Stegostoma tigrinum: one gene and its partner. The protein of the gene in region 1 interacts with the protein of each later gene in a pairwise test. Links are inferred from orthologs where the notes say so. Each region holds a gene or a part of one and is shown on either strand. Other genes may lie near its edges.

Evidence for each region. The genes of interacting proteins can lie anywhere in the genome.
Region 2: the proteins of ccnh (region 1) and znrd2 interact in binary tests that used the Homo sapiens proteins (3 or more experiments, as listed by UniProt). The two-hybrid records come from large-scale screens. The link is inferred for Stegostoma tigrinum from reciprocal best matches to the Homo sapiens genes CCNH and ZNRD2.

Annotation. Positions count from the first base shown.
Region 1 is NC_081356.1:95,563,929-95,571,296, reverse strand, and holds the start of ccnh (cyclin-H), read right to left. Parts: upstream 3,045-7,368; 5' UTR 2,995-3,044; intron 2,862-2,994; exon of another isoform or gene 2,715-2,861; intron 1-2,714. UniProt on the Homo sapiens protein: Regulates CDK7, the catalytic subunit of the CDK-activating kinase (CAK) enzymatic complex. CAK activates the cyclin-associated kinases CDK1, CDK2, CDK4 and CDK6 by threonine phosphorylation.
Region 2 is NC_081395.1:7,548,148-7,555,602, forward strand, and holds the start of znrd2 (protein ZNRD2), read right to left. Parts: upstream 3,084-7,455; 5' UTR 2,985-3,083; coding exon 2,969-2,984; intron 1-2,968. Other genes in the region: serine racemase-like, read left to right, coding at 4,255-4,422, 5,573-5,702, 6,234-6,337. UniProt on the Homo sapiens protein: Might play a role in mitosis. Antigenic molecule. Could be a centromere-associated protein. May induce anti-centromere antibodies.

The sequences.
Region 1 (7,368 bases):
GGTTGAGGTTCTGGATGTCAGTTTGCTTGCTGAGCTGGAAGGTTAGTTTTCAGACGTTTCATCACCATTCTAGGTAACATCATCAGTGAGCCTCCGATGAAGCGCTGGTGTTAGGTCCTGCTTTCTATTGTATTTATTTATAAATAGAAAGCGGGACCTAACACTAGCGCTTCATCGAAAGCTCACTGATGATGTTACCTAGAATGGTGACGAAACATCTGAAAACTAACCTTCCAACTCAGCGAGCAAACTCACATCCATAAATACAAATTGCATTTATACGGTACATTTTATGTAATAAAACATCCTAAGGCAATTCACAGGAGCATCACAAAATTTGAGACCAAGCTAGATGATGCAGTGTCCTGACATATGGCCACAGACTTGACCAAATAAATAAATTTTAAGGGGCATCTTAAAAGACGATCACGAGAAGTGCTCATTCATTTAATGTCAGACTTTACATGGGGTTACAATCTGACAGGCAGTTAAAATAAAAAGTTACAACATATCATTTATAGATAGAAAGAAATGCAGATGCTGGAGTCAGAGGTAACACAGTATGGAACTGGAAGAACACAGCAAGCCAGGTAGCATCAGAGGTGCAGATAAGTTGACATTTTGGATCGGGACCCTTCTTCAGAAAGGGGGAGGGGGAAGAGTGTTCAGAAATAAATACAGAGAAGGGGTAGTCCTGGGAAAGGTAGGTGGGATGGCGATAGGTGGGTGCAGGTAGGAAATCGTCAGGATTGTTCAGTGGGGCGGATAGGTGGGAGAGAAGAGGGACAGGTTGTGTCAGGTCAAGGTGGCAGGGATGAGGCCAGGGATGGGGAGATTTTAAAACTGGTGAATTCTATGTTTAGGCCACTGGGCTGTAGGCTCCCAAGATGGAATATAAGGTGTTGCTCCTCCAGTTTGTGTGGTATCATTGTGGCACTGGAGGAGGCCCAGGATGGATGTGTCACCCAGCGAGTGGGAGGGGGAAGCTAAAATGGTTGACAACTAGAAGATGTTGTTGTTTGTCCCATGCAGAGAGCAGGCTCTCTACAAAACACAGTCTCCAAGTCTACACTTGGTCTCAGCAATGCAGAGGAGGCCACATTGGGAACTGCGGATACAGTAGACCAAGTTGACAGATGTGCAAGTGATCGCTGTCTGATATGAAAGGTTTGCCAGGTGCCTTACATGGGGGTTGGGGGGGGGGGGGAAAGGTGGAGGGGCAGGTGTAGCACTTCCTGCAGTTCTAGGCAAAGGTTCCAGGTTAGTAGGGTAAGTACAGACTGTAGAGCGGATGAGTGAGTCATGGAGACAGCCATCCCTACAAAAGGCAGATATTGTTCTGGAGGGAAATATCTCTTTGGTTGTGGGGTTGGGCTATAGGTGGCAGAAAATATGTTGGATGCAGAGATTGGTGGGGTGATATGAGAGGACAAGGGGGATTGTGTCTTTATTTTTGCTGGGGGGAGGGAATGTGAGGGCAGAGGTGCAGGAAATGCAAGAGATGTGGTTGAGGGCATTTACAATCACTTGGGGGGGGGGGGGGGAGAAGAGCAGATGTTAAGGTCCTTGGTGGGATGTCCATCTGGGCCTCCTCCATTGTGATACAATGGTACTACATGAAAACTAGAGGAGTAAAACATATATTCCACCTTGGGAGCCTACAGCGCTACGGAATTCACTAGTTTTAAAATCTCCCTAACCCCAACCTCATCCCATGTCCAAGCCACCCTCTCATCCCCACCTCCTTGACCTGACCCAACCTGTCCATCTTCTCTCCCACCTAGCCATCCCCCCCACCTAGCTGACCAATTCCCACTACTCCCTACTTGCACTCAAAAAAAAAAATCACCATCCCACCCACATTCCCCACCTCCACCCCTCCTCTATTACTGAGCTCCCTTCCCCCTCCCCATTTCTGAAGAAGGGTCCAGACCCAAAATGTCAACTTTACTGCTCCTCAGATGCTGCCTGGCCTGCTGTGTTCTTCCAGCTCCACAATGTTATCAACATATCACTTATGTCTACTTTATCAGGCCCACCACTAAAGTCTAAATAAACTCATGAATAAAATGTGGGAACTTGTGTTTGTCCTTCTGAAACTCTTTGTCTAATGGACCCTCAGCACTTCACAGCCAAATAAGAGCTCCTGAAGTAAAACAAAGAACTGTGGATGCTAGAAATCTTAATCATAAATAGAAAATTGTCACAAAACTCAGCAGGTCTGGCAGCATTTGTGGAAAAAAAGCAGAGTTGATGTTGCAAATCTAGTGACTTTTCATTAGACACCAGTTTGACCATGCTGTCATTAGACTCAAACATTAACTCTTGCTTTCTTCTCGCAGATACTCCCAGATTTGCTGAGCTTTCATCAGCAATTTCTGTTTTTTCAAAGTATTGCTGTAATCTTGAGAGAAAAAAACATCAGTAGACTTTCATACAGCAATCTTCCACAAACAGTGATGGAGGCCAATTTATTTTGGTGACGGTGACTAGGTTCCGAAGATAACTACACCACAAAGACTAGTCAATGCACCAATATCCGGTCTCCTGTCTTGTTCCAAGAAAGTGATAAGGGACCTTTTACATCCATCAGAAAAGGCAGATTTAATCTCAACTGACGATCTTATCCAAAAAACATTTTCAACTGGCCCTCTATTATAACGGCCAGACTGGATTCACGAGTACAAGACCAGCAGTGCGACTTGAAACCTCACCTTTAAACTGGGGATGAGGGAATATTAAATATGAACGGACTGCAGGAAGCGCAGACCACAAAGCATGAGAAAAGCACGAAGAGTTTGAATCGGTCTGCAGAAGTCAGGTGCCGACTGTAAATCAAGCCGAACCACCCCCACACGCTTTCCCATTATCTCTCTTACAACAGCAGGAGGAGTCGGGAGCTTCAACGGGACTAACGGAGCTGCTCACACATTCAAACCCCAGGGTAGAGATCACGCTGCACCAACACAGACAACCTCTAACGTTCAGACTCACCTGGCTCGAGACTGCTTTCGTTTCCGCTGTTCAGCACTAACCCCACCTCCTAGTGACGTTTCGCGAAGCGTTGGTCCAATGGGAAACGAGTCGGGTTGAGGGCCGTGATCTCGCGTGAGAACAGTCAGCCTGCGACGGTTTGGAACGTGGGAACCTAGCTGTCAGCCGCTTGGGTTGGGGAAGGAAGAGCAGAGGTTAAGTCGGAGAGTACGGTGTAATGTACTTTCCAGTCATAGCTACCGAGCTGTGTGACTATGGAAAACATGAACGGTTTGCAGCCTTTGAAGGGGTTGACCACAGCGTTCCCGCCCTTTGCCCTGGTAGAAATGGGCTCGGGAGCCAAGGTAAAAATCGGGGCAACAGCGAGGCCATGTTCTTTGGGAATTGGGCCAACCGATCCTTCATTCCCGTCACCGTCACGACAGATTACCTGAAAGTGCTGGGAATATGGCTCAGAGGGCCTAGGGCATGCACAAAATCTGAGAGGAGTGCATCGCCAAAGTGAAGCAGAAATTGGTCTTCTGGAAGCACTGTTCCTTGTCCGTTGCGGGGATAAACCTGGTTATCAGGTGTGAAGCACTCTGTCTCTGATGCTGTAAACGACACAGGTCTGGCCTGCCTCCCGTCACTGATGTTTCAATCACCTGAGTCATCTTCTATTTCATCTGGAAGCCTAAGATAGACTGGGCCTGCAGGAACTCCATGTATAAAACTCTGGATGGTGGTGGCAGAGAACGTTCCCACTGTTGCCCTCCTGATGGCCACCTTTGTGTTTTATCATACAGACCTTTCATCACCATGCTGGGTAACATCAGTGCGGCATCCAATGAAGCAAAACTGTTCTACTCCACTTGGAATTTATATGATCTGCTCTGTCGAGTTGTGTTGTGCCATTTCCTGTTCTTTTTTGCATGGGTTTGTACATGAGGTCTAATTCCACATGTTTGTTGATTGCATTATGGGTTGAAAACCAGTGCATATCTGTTGTTGGCTTGAGCCAGGATGGTCCCATTGTTCCAGTTAAATTGATGGCCACATTGTCTGAGTGCACTGTGATGAGGGAAAGTTTGTCATGTTGTTTTTCTGCCACCTGGTGTTCATGTATCCTGATGGCTAGTTTCCTTCCAGTCTGGCTATTGTAATGTTTGTTGCAGTCATTGGAAGGTATTTTTGTAAACTATGTTGGTCTTACACGTCATGGGTATGGGTTCTTTGGTCCTTGTGGGTGTTTGTTGTAGTGTAGCTGTGGATTTGTGTCCTGCCATGATTCCTAGTGGTCATAGGAGTCTCGTCAGTTCTGATATGTTCATGATATAGGATAGTGTGATGTGTCCTGTTGGTGTTGCCTATCTAGACGGCACCTGCGGATGAAATTGTTGGGATGTCTGTTATTAACAGATACCTTGTATAGGTGCTCTTCCTCCTTTCTACGTAGTTCTGGCATGTTGCAGTGTATTGCGGCTCATTGGAATAATGTCCTAACACAGCTTTGTTTGTGGACGTTGGGTGATTGCTGTGGAAATTGAGGATTTGGTCAATATGGGTTGCCTTCCTGTGTACTGTGAACTCCCCATTGGTCATTCGTTCTACCCTGACATCTTGGAATGGAAGTTGATTGTTGTCTTCATCTTCTTTTGTAAATTTGACCCTAGGACTCGGGACTTATTGCAGGGGCAGTCATGCAAAGACTGGAGTGCACAAACCTGCCCCTCATACAGCCAGAACTGTGGATCTGATACATGGATGATGCATCATCATTAAACCAAGTTAGAAGAAACGCACCATCTTATCAAAAACATTTTCACCAGGATCAAATTAATGAACAACGGATATCTCAATAATTTCATCCACAGGTGCCTACTAGATGGATGAAGCTAAATAACCAGCCAGCAAAGCGAGCAAGCCAACAACCTCATCCACAAGCCAAGCTACAAATCTTAACAAGAACATTAAACCTTTGTGTTTGGCTACATGAAGCTGTGCATAGACCCTTAGTACACAACACCAAGTGCCACTGCATACTGAGGTTTTACCTGTCCCTCAGTGTTTCAAGGGATGGGACTGGCCTTGCTGCCACATCCCCTATCACTTCTCCTTCATCGAGAAATTTGCAAAGCACCTTTGACTAGCAGTCCATCAGGAAGTGTACCCTGAGAGAAAAGAAGAGGGTGGATCCTGTTGCATGGTTCCCTAAGAAAATTGTCAAAGTCATTTGGCAGAATGCCTCATCACCCGAACTTCGGAAAAGCACCAAGACGTTGCTTGGCTTTTGCTGATAAGGGAAGTACCTGGGAGATCCTTTATGTCTGCACTACTGCCCGCTGCTCTTGAAGTGGCTGGTTCGGAGGTTTGAAGATGGAGGGTGGTGGTGATGGGGGGCTGCTGGTGAGGGGTATTGAGGTTGAGACTGTGACACATCTCCTTCTGGAATATGCCTCTGCCAAAGAAGTCTGGAGGAAGATGCATGGTTTGTGTCAAGGTTTGTCTTAAGCAGCTCCGTGACACGGGACTGTGCCCTGTACGGTCTGTTCACCAGGACACACACCGAGACAAACATTAGCTGGAGCTGGAGTACCATCAATTCAGTGAAAGACGCTCTTTGATTTGCTCAAGACTTGTTAGTCATTCAGAACAAGGAGCCAACCTCAACTCGGTGTTGCAGACTGGCACATTTCAAAGTCTGGGACTGCATGCTGAGGGACACACTAAAGTTTGGGGCAGCTGCCATCAAAGCACAGTGGGGAAGGACCACTGCTGAAGTCTTCCAGCTAAAAGTAAATGAGTGTCCTTCCAGTTATTGGACCCTCCTAGTGCCTCAAATATAGGTAAATATTAGTACTGTATGTGGAAGAAAGGTCTTTGGTTTTTTGGTTAGGTTTGTTTATTTACTGATGTGCAGCTATACAGAACCAAATTGCTTTTGTGACAGCGTATACATATGAGAGAATTTTTTTATGAATACAGTATATTTTTGAAAGAAAAAAAAATTAGTTTGCCCAAAACGTAATGGTCTTCCAGATTCCTTATGGAAACAGTTAAAGTTGCCAAACTGAAAGACTTCTTCAGCCCCCCTGCAGATGGATTGTAACATAGATATACCTGGTGGCCACTAGACGGATCTGTCTATTCAAGGATCAATTTCGTGTTTGCATCTTACACCTTCTCATTCAGATCCACTGATGTCAAGCCAATACTCTTCTCTGACCACTGCTTCCTGCTGGCTGACTGCCACCTATAGGATGCCCACAGGCCGGCAAGAAAATGTGGAAGCTGAATGTGAAAACTGTTAACTCCAGAAAATATTGAGGAGCTCAAAAGGGGTTACAGGTTGGAGAACCGTGAAGCCCCTGTCTAACTCTACACTGGACTGGGGGGGGAAACAGTCAAGGGGAACATCAAGACGTTCTTTATCCTCAAAGGTGTTCTGAAGGCCATTTCGGAGACATGGATAGAGCAGGGACAGGAATGGTTGTTGCAGGTTCCGGGATTTAGATGTTTCAGTAAGAGCAGAGAAGACGGTTAAAGAGGGGGAGGTGTGGCATTGTTGGTCAAGGACGGTATTACAGTTGCAGAAAAGATGTTTGGGGACTCGTCAACTGAGGTAGCACGGGCAAGGTTGGAAACAGAAAAGAAGAGATCACCCTGTTGGGAGTTTTCTATAGGCCTCCGAATAGTCCCAGATATGCACAGGAAAGGATAGCAAAGATGATTCTCGATAGGAGTGAGAGAGACAGGGTAGTTGTCATGGGGGACTTCAACTTTCCAAATATTGACTGGGAACACTATAGTTCGAGTGCTATATTTGGGTCAGTTTTTGCCCAGTGTGTGCAGGAGGGCTTCCTGACACAGTATATAGACAGGCCAACAAGGGGCGAAGCCACATTAGCTTTGGTACTGGGTAATGAGCCCGGCCAGGTGTTAGATTTGGAAGTAGGTGAGCACTTTGGTGATAGCGATCACAATTCTGTTATGTTTACTTTAGTGATGGAAAGGGATAGGTGTATACCACTGGGCAAGAGTTATAGCTGGGGGAAAGGCAATTACAATGAGATTAGGCAAGATTTAGGGAGCATAGGATGGGGAAGGAAACTGCAGGGGATGGGCACATTAGAAATGTGGAGCTTATTCAAGGAAAAGCTCTGTGTGTCCGAGATGAGTATGTACCTGTCAGGCAGGAAGGAAGCTGTAGAGCACGGGAGCCGTGGTTTACGGAGGGAGTGGAATCTCTGGTCAAGAGGAAGAAGAAGCTTATGTTAGGATGAGATGTGAAGGCTCAGTTAGGGCGCTTGAGGGTTACGAGTTAGCCAGGAAAGACCGAAAGAGAGAGCTCAGAAGAGCCAGGAGAAGACATGAGAAGTTGCTGGCTGATAGGAT
Region 2 (7,455 bases), on another chromosome or scaffold:
CATCCCCCTCTCCTATCCCCCTCTCCTCTCTCTTTATTCTCATCCCCCTCTCCTATCCCCCTCTCCTCTCTCTTTATTCTCATCCCCCTCTCCTGTCCCCCTCTCCTCTCTCTTTATTCTCATCCCCCTCTCCTGTCCCCCTCTCCTCTCTCTTTATTCTCATCCCCCTCTCCTGTCCCCCTCTCCTCTCTCTTTATTCTCATCCCCCTCTCCTGTCCCCCTCTCCTCTCTCTTTATTCTCATCCCCCTCTCCTCTCTCTTTATTCTCATCCCCCTCTCCTGTCCCCCTCTCCTCTCTCTTTATTCTCATCCCCCTCTCCTCTCTCTTTATTCTCATCCCCCTCTCCTCTCTCTTTATTCTCATCCCCCTCTCCTGTCCCCCTCTCCTCTCTCTTTATTCTCATCCCCCTCTCCTCTCTCTTTATTCTCATCCCCCTCTCCTCTCTCTTTATTCTCATCCCCCTCTCCTGTCCCCCTCTCCTCTCTCTTTATTCTCATCCCCCTCTCCTCTCTCTTTATTCTCATCCCCCTCTCCTCTCTCTTTATTCTCATCCCCCTCTCCTGTCCCCCTCTCCTCTCTCTTTATTCTCGTCCCCCTCTCCTGTCCCCCTCTCCTCTCTCTTTATTCTCGTCCCCCTCTCCTGTCCCCCTCTCCTCTCTCTTTATTCTCGTCCCCCTCTCCTGTCCCCCTCTCCTCTCTCTTTATTCTCGTCCCCCTCTCCTGTCCCCCTCTCCTCTCTCTTTATTCTCGTCCCCCTCTCCTCTCTCTTTATTCTCGTCCCCCTCTCCTCTCTCTTTATTCTCGTCCCCCTCTCCTGTCCCCCTCTCCTCTCTCTTTATTCTCGTCCCCCTCTCCTCTCTCTTTATTCTCGTCCCCCTCTCCTGTCCCCCTCTCCTCTCTCTTTATTCTCGTCCCCCTCTCCTCTCTCTTTATTCTCGTCCCCCTCTCCTGTCCCCCTCTCCTCTCTCTTTATTCTCGTCCCCCTCTCCTCTCTCTTTATTCTCGTCCCCCTCTCCTGTCCCCCTCTCCTCTCTCTTTATTCTCGTCCCCCTCTCCTCTCTCTTTATTCTCGTCCCCCTCTCCTGTCCCCCTCTCCTCTCTCTTTATTCTCGTCCCCCTCTCCTCTCTCTTTATTCTCATCCCCCTCTCCTGTCCCCCTCTCCTCTCTCTTTATTCTCATCCCCCTCTCCTGTCCCCCTCTCCTCTCTCTTTATTCTCATCCCCCTCTCCTGTCCCCCTCTCCTCTCTCTTTATTCTCATCCCCCTCTCCTGTCCCCCTCTCCTCTCTCTTTATTCTCATCCCCCTCTCCTGTCCCCCTCTCCTCTCTCTTTATTCTCATCCCCCTCTCCTGTCCCCCTCTCCTCTCTCTTTATTCTCATCCCCCTCTCCTGTCCCCCTCTCCTCTCTCTTTATTCTCATCCCCCTCTCCTGTCCCCCTCTCCTCTCTCTTTATTCTCATCCCCCTCTCCTGTCCCCCTCTCCTCTCTCTTTATTCTCATCCCCCTCTCCTGTCCCCCTCTCCTCTCTCTTTATTCTCATCCCCCTCTCCTGTCCCCCTCTCCTCTCTCTTTATTCTCATCCCCCTCTCCTGTCCCCCTCTCCTCTCTCTTTATTCTCATCCCCCTCTCCTGTCCCCCTCTCCTCTCTCTTTATTCTCATCCCCCTCTCCTGTCCCCCTCTCCTCTCTCTTTATTCTCATCCCCCTCTCCTGTCCCCCTCTCCTCTCTCTTTATTCTCATCCCCCTCTCCTGTCCCCCTCTCCTCTCTCTTTATTCTCATCCCCCTCTCCTGTCCCCCTCTCCTCTCTCTTTATTCTCATCCCCCTCTCCTGTCCCCCTCTCCTCTCTCTTTATTCTCATCCCCCTCTCCTGTCCCCCTCTCCTCTCTCTTTATTCTCATCCCCCTCTCCTGTCCCCCTCTCCTCTCTCTTTATTCTCATCCCCCTCTCCTGTCCCCCTCTCCTCTCTCTTTATTCTCATCCCCCTCTCCTGTCCCCCTCTCCTCTCTCTTTATTCTCATCCCCCTCTCCTGTCCCCCTCTCCTCTCTCTTTATTCTCATCCCCCTCTCCTGTCCCCCTCTCCTCTCTCTTTATTCTCATCCCCCTCTCCTGTCCCCCTCTCCTCTCTCTTTATTCTCATCCCCCTCTCCTGTCCCCCTCTCCTCTCTCTTTATTCTCATCCCCCTCTCCTCTCTCTTTATTCTCTTCCCCCTCTCCTCTCTCTTTATTCTCATCCCCCTCTCCTCTCTCTTTATTCTCATCCCCCTCTCTTATCCCCCTCTCCTCTCTCTTTATTCTCATCCCCCTCTCCTATCCCCCTCTCCTCTCTCTTTATTCTCATCCCCCTCTCCTATCCCCCTCTCCTCTCTCTTTATTCTCATCCCTCTCTCCTATCCCTCTCTCCGCTCTCTTTATTCTCATCCCTCTCTCCTATCCCCCTCTCCTCTCTCTTTATTCTCATCCCTCTCTCCTATCCCCCTCTCCTCTCTCTTTATTCTCATCCCTCTCTCCTATCCCTCTCTCCTCTCTCTTTATTCTCATCCCTCTCTCCTATCCCTCTCTCCTCTCTCTTTATTCTCATCCCTCTCTCCTATCCCTCTCTCCTCTCTCTTTATTCTCATCCCTCTCTCCTATCCCTCTCTCCTCTCTCTTTATTCTCATCCCCCTCTCCTATCCCTCTCTCCTCTCTCTTTATTCTCATCCCCCTCTCCTATCCCTCTCTCCTCTCTCTTTATTCTCATCCCTCTCTCCTTATTCTCATCCCTCTCTCCTATCCCTCTCCTCTCTCTTTATTCTCATCCCTCTCTCCTATCCCTCTCTCCTCTCTGTTTATTCTCATCCCCCTCTCTCCTCTCTCTTTATTCTCATCCCTCTCTCCTATTCCTATCCCTCTCCTCTCTCTTTATTCTCATCCCTCTCTTCTTTCTCTTTATTCTCATCCCTCTCTCCCTCCCCAGGGCCCATTACCACTGTTTAAGGCCATGCTGCTACTTCAGGCACCCTCAGCGTTGTCGGAAGTGACGTCTTCTTGAGGCTTGGCTTCAACTTAACCGCTAAAATGGGAGAATAGACTAGTCGGACACCCCTCTCCTCCTGCGGGATGGTGAGAATGGGATCGTCCGGGCGGGAGGCGGAGTCTGTGCGATCAAGGGGCGGGACCAGAGTTCGTAAGGGGGCGGGGTTAGAGTCGGGGCAGGAGCGGAGTCCGGACTCCGGGCGCTGACCTTCGGCGAGGGGGAGGGGGCCAGAATCATTGGTGTTCGGGGCGGGGTCGGATCCGCGAGGGGGCGGGATCAGACTCGGGCGTTGTCAAGCTCGGGGCGGGGCTCCTTCGTTTAGGGGGCGTGGTTAGTGCGGTAGGGAGGCGGGGATAACGGCGAAGGGCGGGGTCACAACGGGTAATGGGGGCGGGTGTCTTCTTGGTGCCGTTACCAGGGAGATGCCGAGGCCTAGTTGATCGTTTGAGGCCTGCCGTCAGGCCGCTCAGATGCTCTCTTTCTGACCCCGACCCTTTTCCAGGGCAAATACAATTGTGCTATTGCAACGGGACCTATGGTGCAGCGCATATGACTGCACCTCCACGGTCATTGTCAAAAAAAGAGGCAGCTCTTCGGGGCACCGTTAGCTCAGTTTCTCCCCCCTTCTGTACTCCCAATAGTTCTTTTAATCCCATATCCTCATCCCTATCCCCAGAGCCCTGATAGAAATAGGTCATTCTGCCCATCTTGTCTGTTCCTATCATCTCTGAAAGAGATATCTAGTCTCATTCCCGCTTTCCACCAGCTCTTGGTCTGTAGACCCTGTTGCTACAAGTGCACATCCAATTTTTTTCTCAGGAGCAGTAAGGATATTACTACCCTTTCAGGAATTGTGTTCCAGACCCCTTTGAGTGAAAACAGATACCCATCACATGCACCAAGCCCCTGCGCAGCAAAGGTTTCTGTTGCTTACTTTAAATCTATGCCTCACTTGTCATTTGACTTGTTCTGTCAAGGAAAGTTGGATTATCTAGAACCTTCAATTCTGTACATCTTGATTAGATCTTGTGTGTTCCGAAGAAATCAGACTCAACTATCTGATCTTGTCTCCCAGTTACAATATGCCATTCTGGTAAAGATCTTGCTCTGCATCCTTCCTTATTGCGATCACATCCTTCCTATAATGTGGCAATTGCCATTGCATTGTACTATCTGTGGTCTTAACTGCTGCTTTATACCATTCCTGTTGAAATTCTTTGCTAGTTGTAAGTAGCCATGGAGTCTCAGTACTGTGTCTCCCTGGCGAGTGTACAGAAGGCTCACATGGTCATCTGTGATCTTGTCCACCGGACGCCAGTCCTCACCAACTCCACCCTGGACAAGCGAGCTGATAGGAAGATCTTTCTCAAGTGTGAACTTTTCCAAAAAACTGGATCATTCAAGGTAAGATGCTTTTAAGAAATTGAAATGCCACCCTGGCATCAATATGTTGTTGATTCAGAAACAGGAGAGGGATAAAGAAATAGAATTGGATCTGGTCTTTGAAACACAAAGGAAGCACATAATCTCAGTGGACCCAAACCCCTTCCTAATTTATCCCACTGTACATGATCACAATTAGCCAAACCCCTTCTCATTCACCCCCACTCTACATAATCTTGATGGACTCGGGTCCCTTCCCTGTCACTTCCATTGTGGATAATTCTGTTGGAACCAAACCCCTTCCCATTTACTCCCACACAATTGGATTGCACACAATCCAAATCAACCAAATCACTGCCAATGCACTCCCATTTTATACATTCCAATTTATCAAACCCTTTCTGTTCCCTCCCATATTACATAATCCCAATTAACCAAACCGCTTTGCATTCACTCCCATTGTACTCAATACCAATTAATCAAACTTTTCCCATTCACTCCCATTGTATGCAATTCTGTTGGGTTAAATCTCTTTCTATTCATCCCAATGTACGCAATCCCAAGAGACCAAACTTTTTCCAATTTATTCCTGTTGTATAGAATCAGTTATCATAAAAATCCAGGCTATTTAACACTATATTATTCATGTTACTAGGCTGGGTCCTGGATATAATTTGAGCCAGTCAGTTTAACATAGCTAAGTGATACTGCACTCTGCTGGTAGAAGGTTAGGACTACTTTTCATATTAGCATAATGTGTTTTTATAGCAATCTTAACACAATAAAACATCCCCAGAAACTACAAGAGTAATTATCAGGGAATATTTCATAGCCGTCTGAAAGGAAGTCTCAAGGTGAGTGACCAAAAGCTTGATTAAGGAGGCAGATTGTAAGAAATACCTTAGGGAAGTGAAGTTTATGGTGGAAATTCCAGACCTTAAGTACCCAGGGAGCTGAAGGTGTGGCCCCAATGTTGACCCAAGGGACATTAGAGTTTCTTGTGGTGCCAGAATTGGAGGAATGCAGAGATCTTGGAGTGTTTTGGGGGCTGGAGGAGGTTACAGATATGGGCGGGGGGGTGGGGAAGGGGCAGACATTGGAATGTGAGGACAAAAAATTTGCATCGTTTGCTTTCCACCAGCGAGTTGATGAGATTTGTTATTCCCTTCAGATCCGAGGAGCCCTGAATGCAGTGTCCAGCCTCAGCGCGAGGAGGCAAAATGGCGAGGATGTTCGAGCTGTGGTGACACACAGCAGTGGTAATCATGGACAGGCACTGGCCCTAGCTGCTCAAATGCAAGGTGGGGACTGCAGGAAAGGCCAAATAAGACCTGCCCCTACCAGTACTGTACCCCAGTATTATACATTGACAGATCTGTCTGCACCAATACTAGACCCCAGAGTGATACAGAAACAGACCCTTCTTCATCATTCCAGTGTCCCAGGATTGTGTAGTGACAGACCACCGGTACTGTACCCCAGTATTATACAGTGACAGACCTGTGCCCACCAGTACTGTACCCCAGTGTTGTACAGTGACAGGCCTGTCCCTACCGTTAATGTACCCCAGTGTTATACAGTGACAGTCCTGTCCCTACCGTTAATGTACCCCTGTGTTATACAGCAACAGATTGCCTTACCTGAAGTCCCAGTGTTTCTCACAGTTGAAGTTAGTATTGAAATGGTGAGCCAGTGACGGGTTTGGTGAGGATAGAAAATGAGGCGGATCTTGGGTCATCCTGTCTGTTCCCCATTTGAAGAAGGTGCAATCAGGTTAGGGACACTGCTGTTGTTAAGCCCCGTGTAAGTGTGTGTGTTTTGAACTGTCTCAGGGATCCCCTCATATGTGGTTGTGCCCCGAAATGCCCCGGCGTGCAAAAAGGCTGCCATACTGGAGTATGGTGCGCAAATTGTGGAGTGTGAGCCCAGCGACCAGGTAAGGCTCAGTTGTGTGGACTGACTTGTGGCAGATGGAAGGAGGCAAAAGAAAGGGCAAGAGTATGTTGGGGTTTGAGAGAAAGGCCAGTCAGGCTAGAATCTTTATACGGCCTTTAATAAACAACTTGTTCCCAGGAAGTGGTGGTGAGTGTGTTGATATTGTAGAGAAATCTTTATATTTACTGCTGTTCCTAGTTGATCCTTGTTTCTTTGTGAACTGCTCTCTGAATCTGTTTCCTGTTTATGACAACTGGTCTCCCTGAGATGTACGAATACTTCCACTTCAGCCCTTCATTGGTTCAAAGATTGCTATATAGAGACAAGATGTTGGAATTCTTTAATTCTTTTTGAACAAAGAGCTCAAAATGCAAAGCCCTGTGAGTGAATGCACTTGTAGCATGTGTAAATGAATCACACTGGAAGATAAACATACATAGGTTTGAATAGGTGCATGAAGATAGCCAATCTGTATTACATTTTGTCTATTCATTCATGGATGTGAGTGTCACTCGATGGACTGGTATTTATTGCCAAGGGAGCAGTTAAGATTTAGATTAGATTAGATTCTCTACAGTGTGGAACAGGCCCTTTGGCCCAACAAGTCCACACCGCCCCTTGAAGCATCCCACCCAGACCCATTCCCCTATAACCGACACACCCCTGAACACTACGGGCAATTTAGCATGGCCGATCCACCTAGCCTGCACATCTTTGGACTGTGGGAGGAAACTGGAGGAAACCCACACAGACATGGGGAGAACGTGCAAACTCCGCACAGACAGTTACCTGAGGCTGAAATCAAATGCGGGTCCCTGGTGCTGTGAGGCTGCAGTGCCGCCCCATTTAACCATGTTGCTGTGGCTCTATAGTCAGACCAGGTAAAGTGACAAATTTCCTTCCCTGAAGGGCATTAGTGAACCAGATTTTTTTTTTCCTGACTATTGGCATGGTCCTCGTTAGACTCCCATTCCCAGATTATTGTTGAATTCAGATTCCACTGTCTGCCATGGCTGGATTCGACCCCAGGTCCCCAGAACATTATCCGCGTCTCTGGATTAATACTCTGTCAACAATGTCAGTAGGCCATCATCTAGCCATAATCCCCACAGCAGTGCC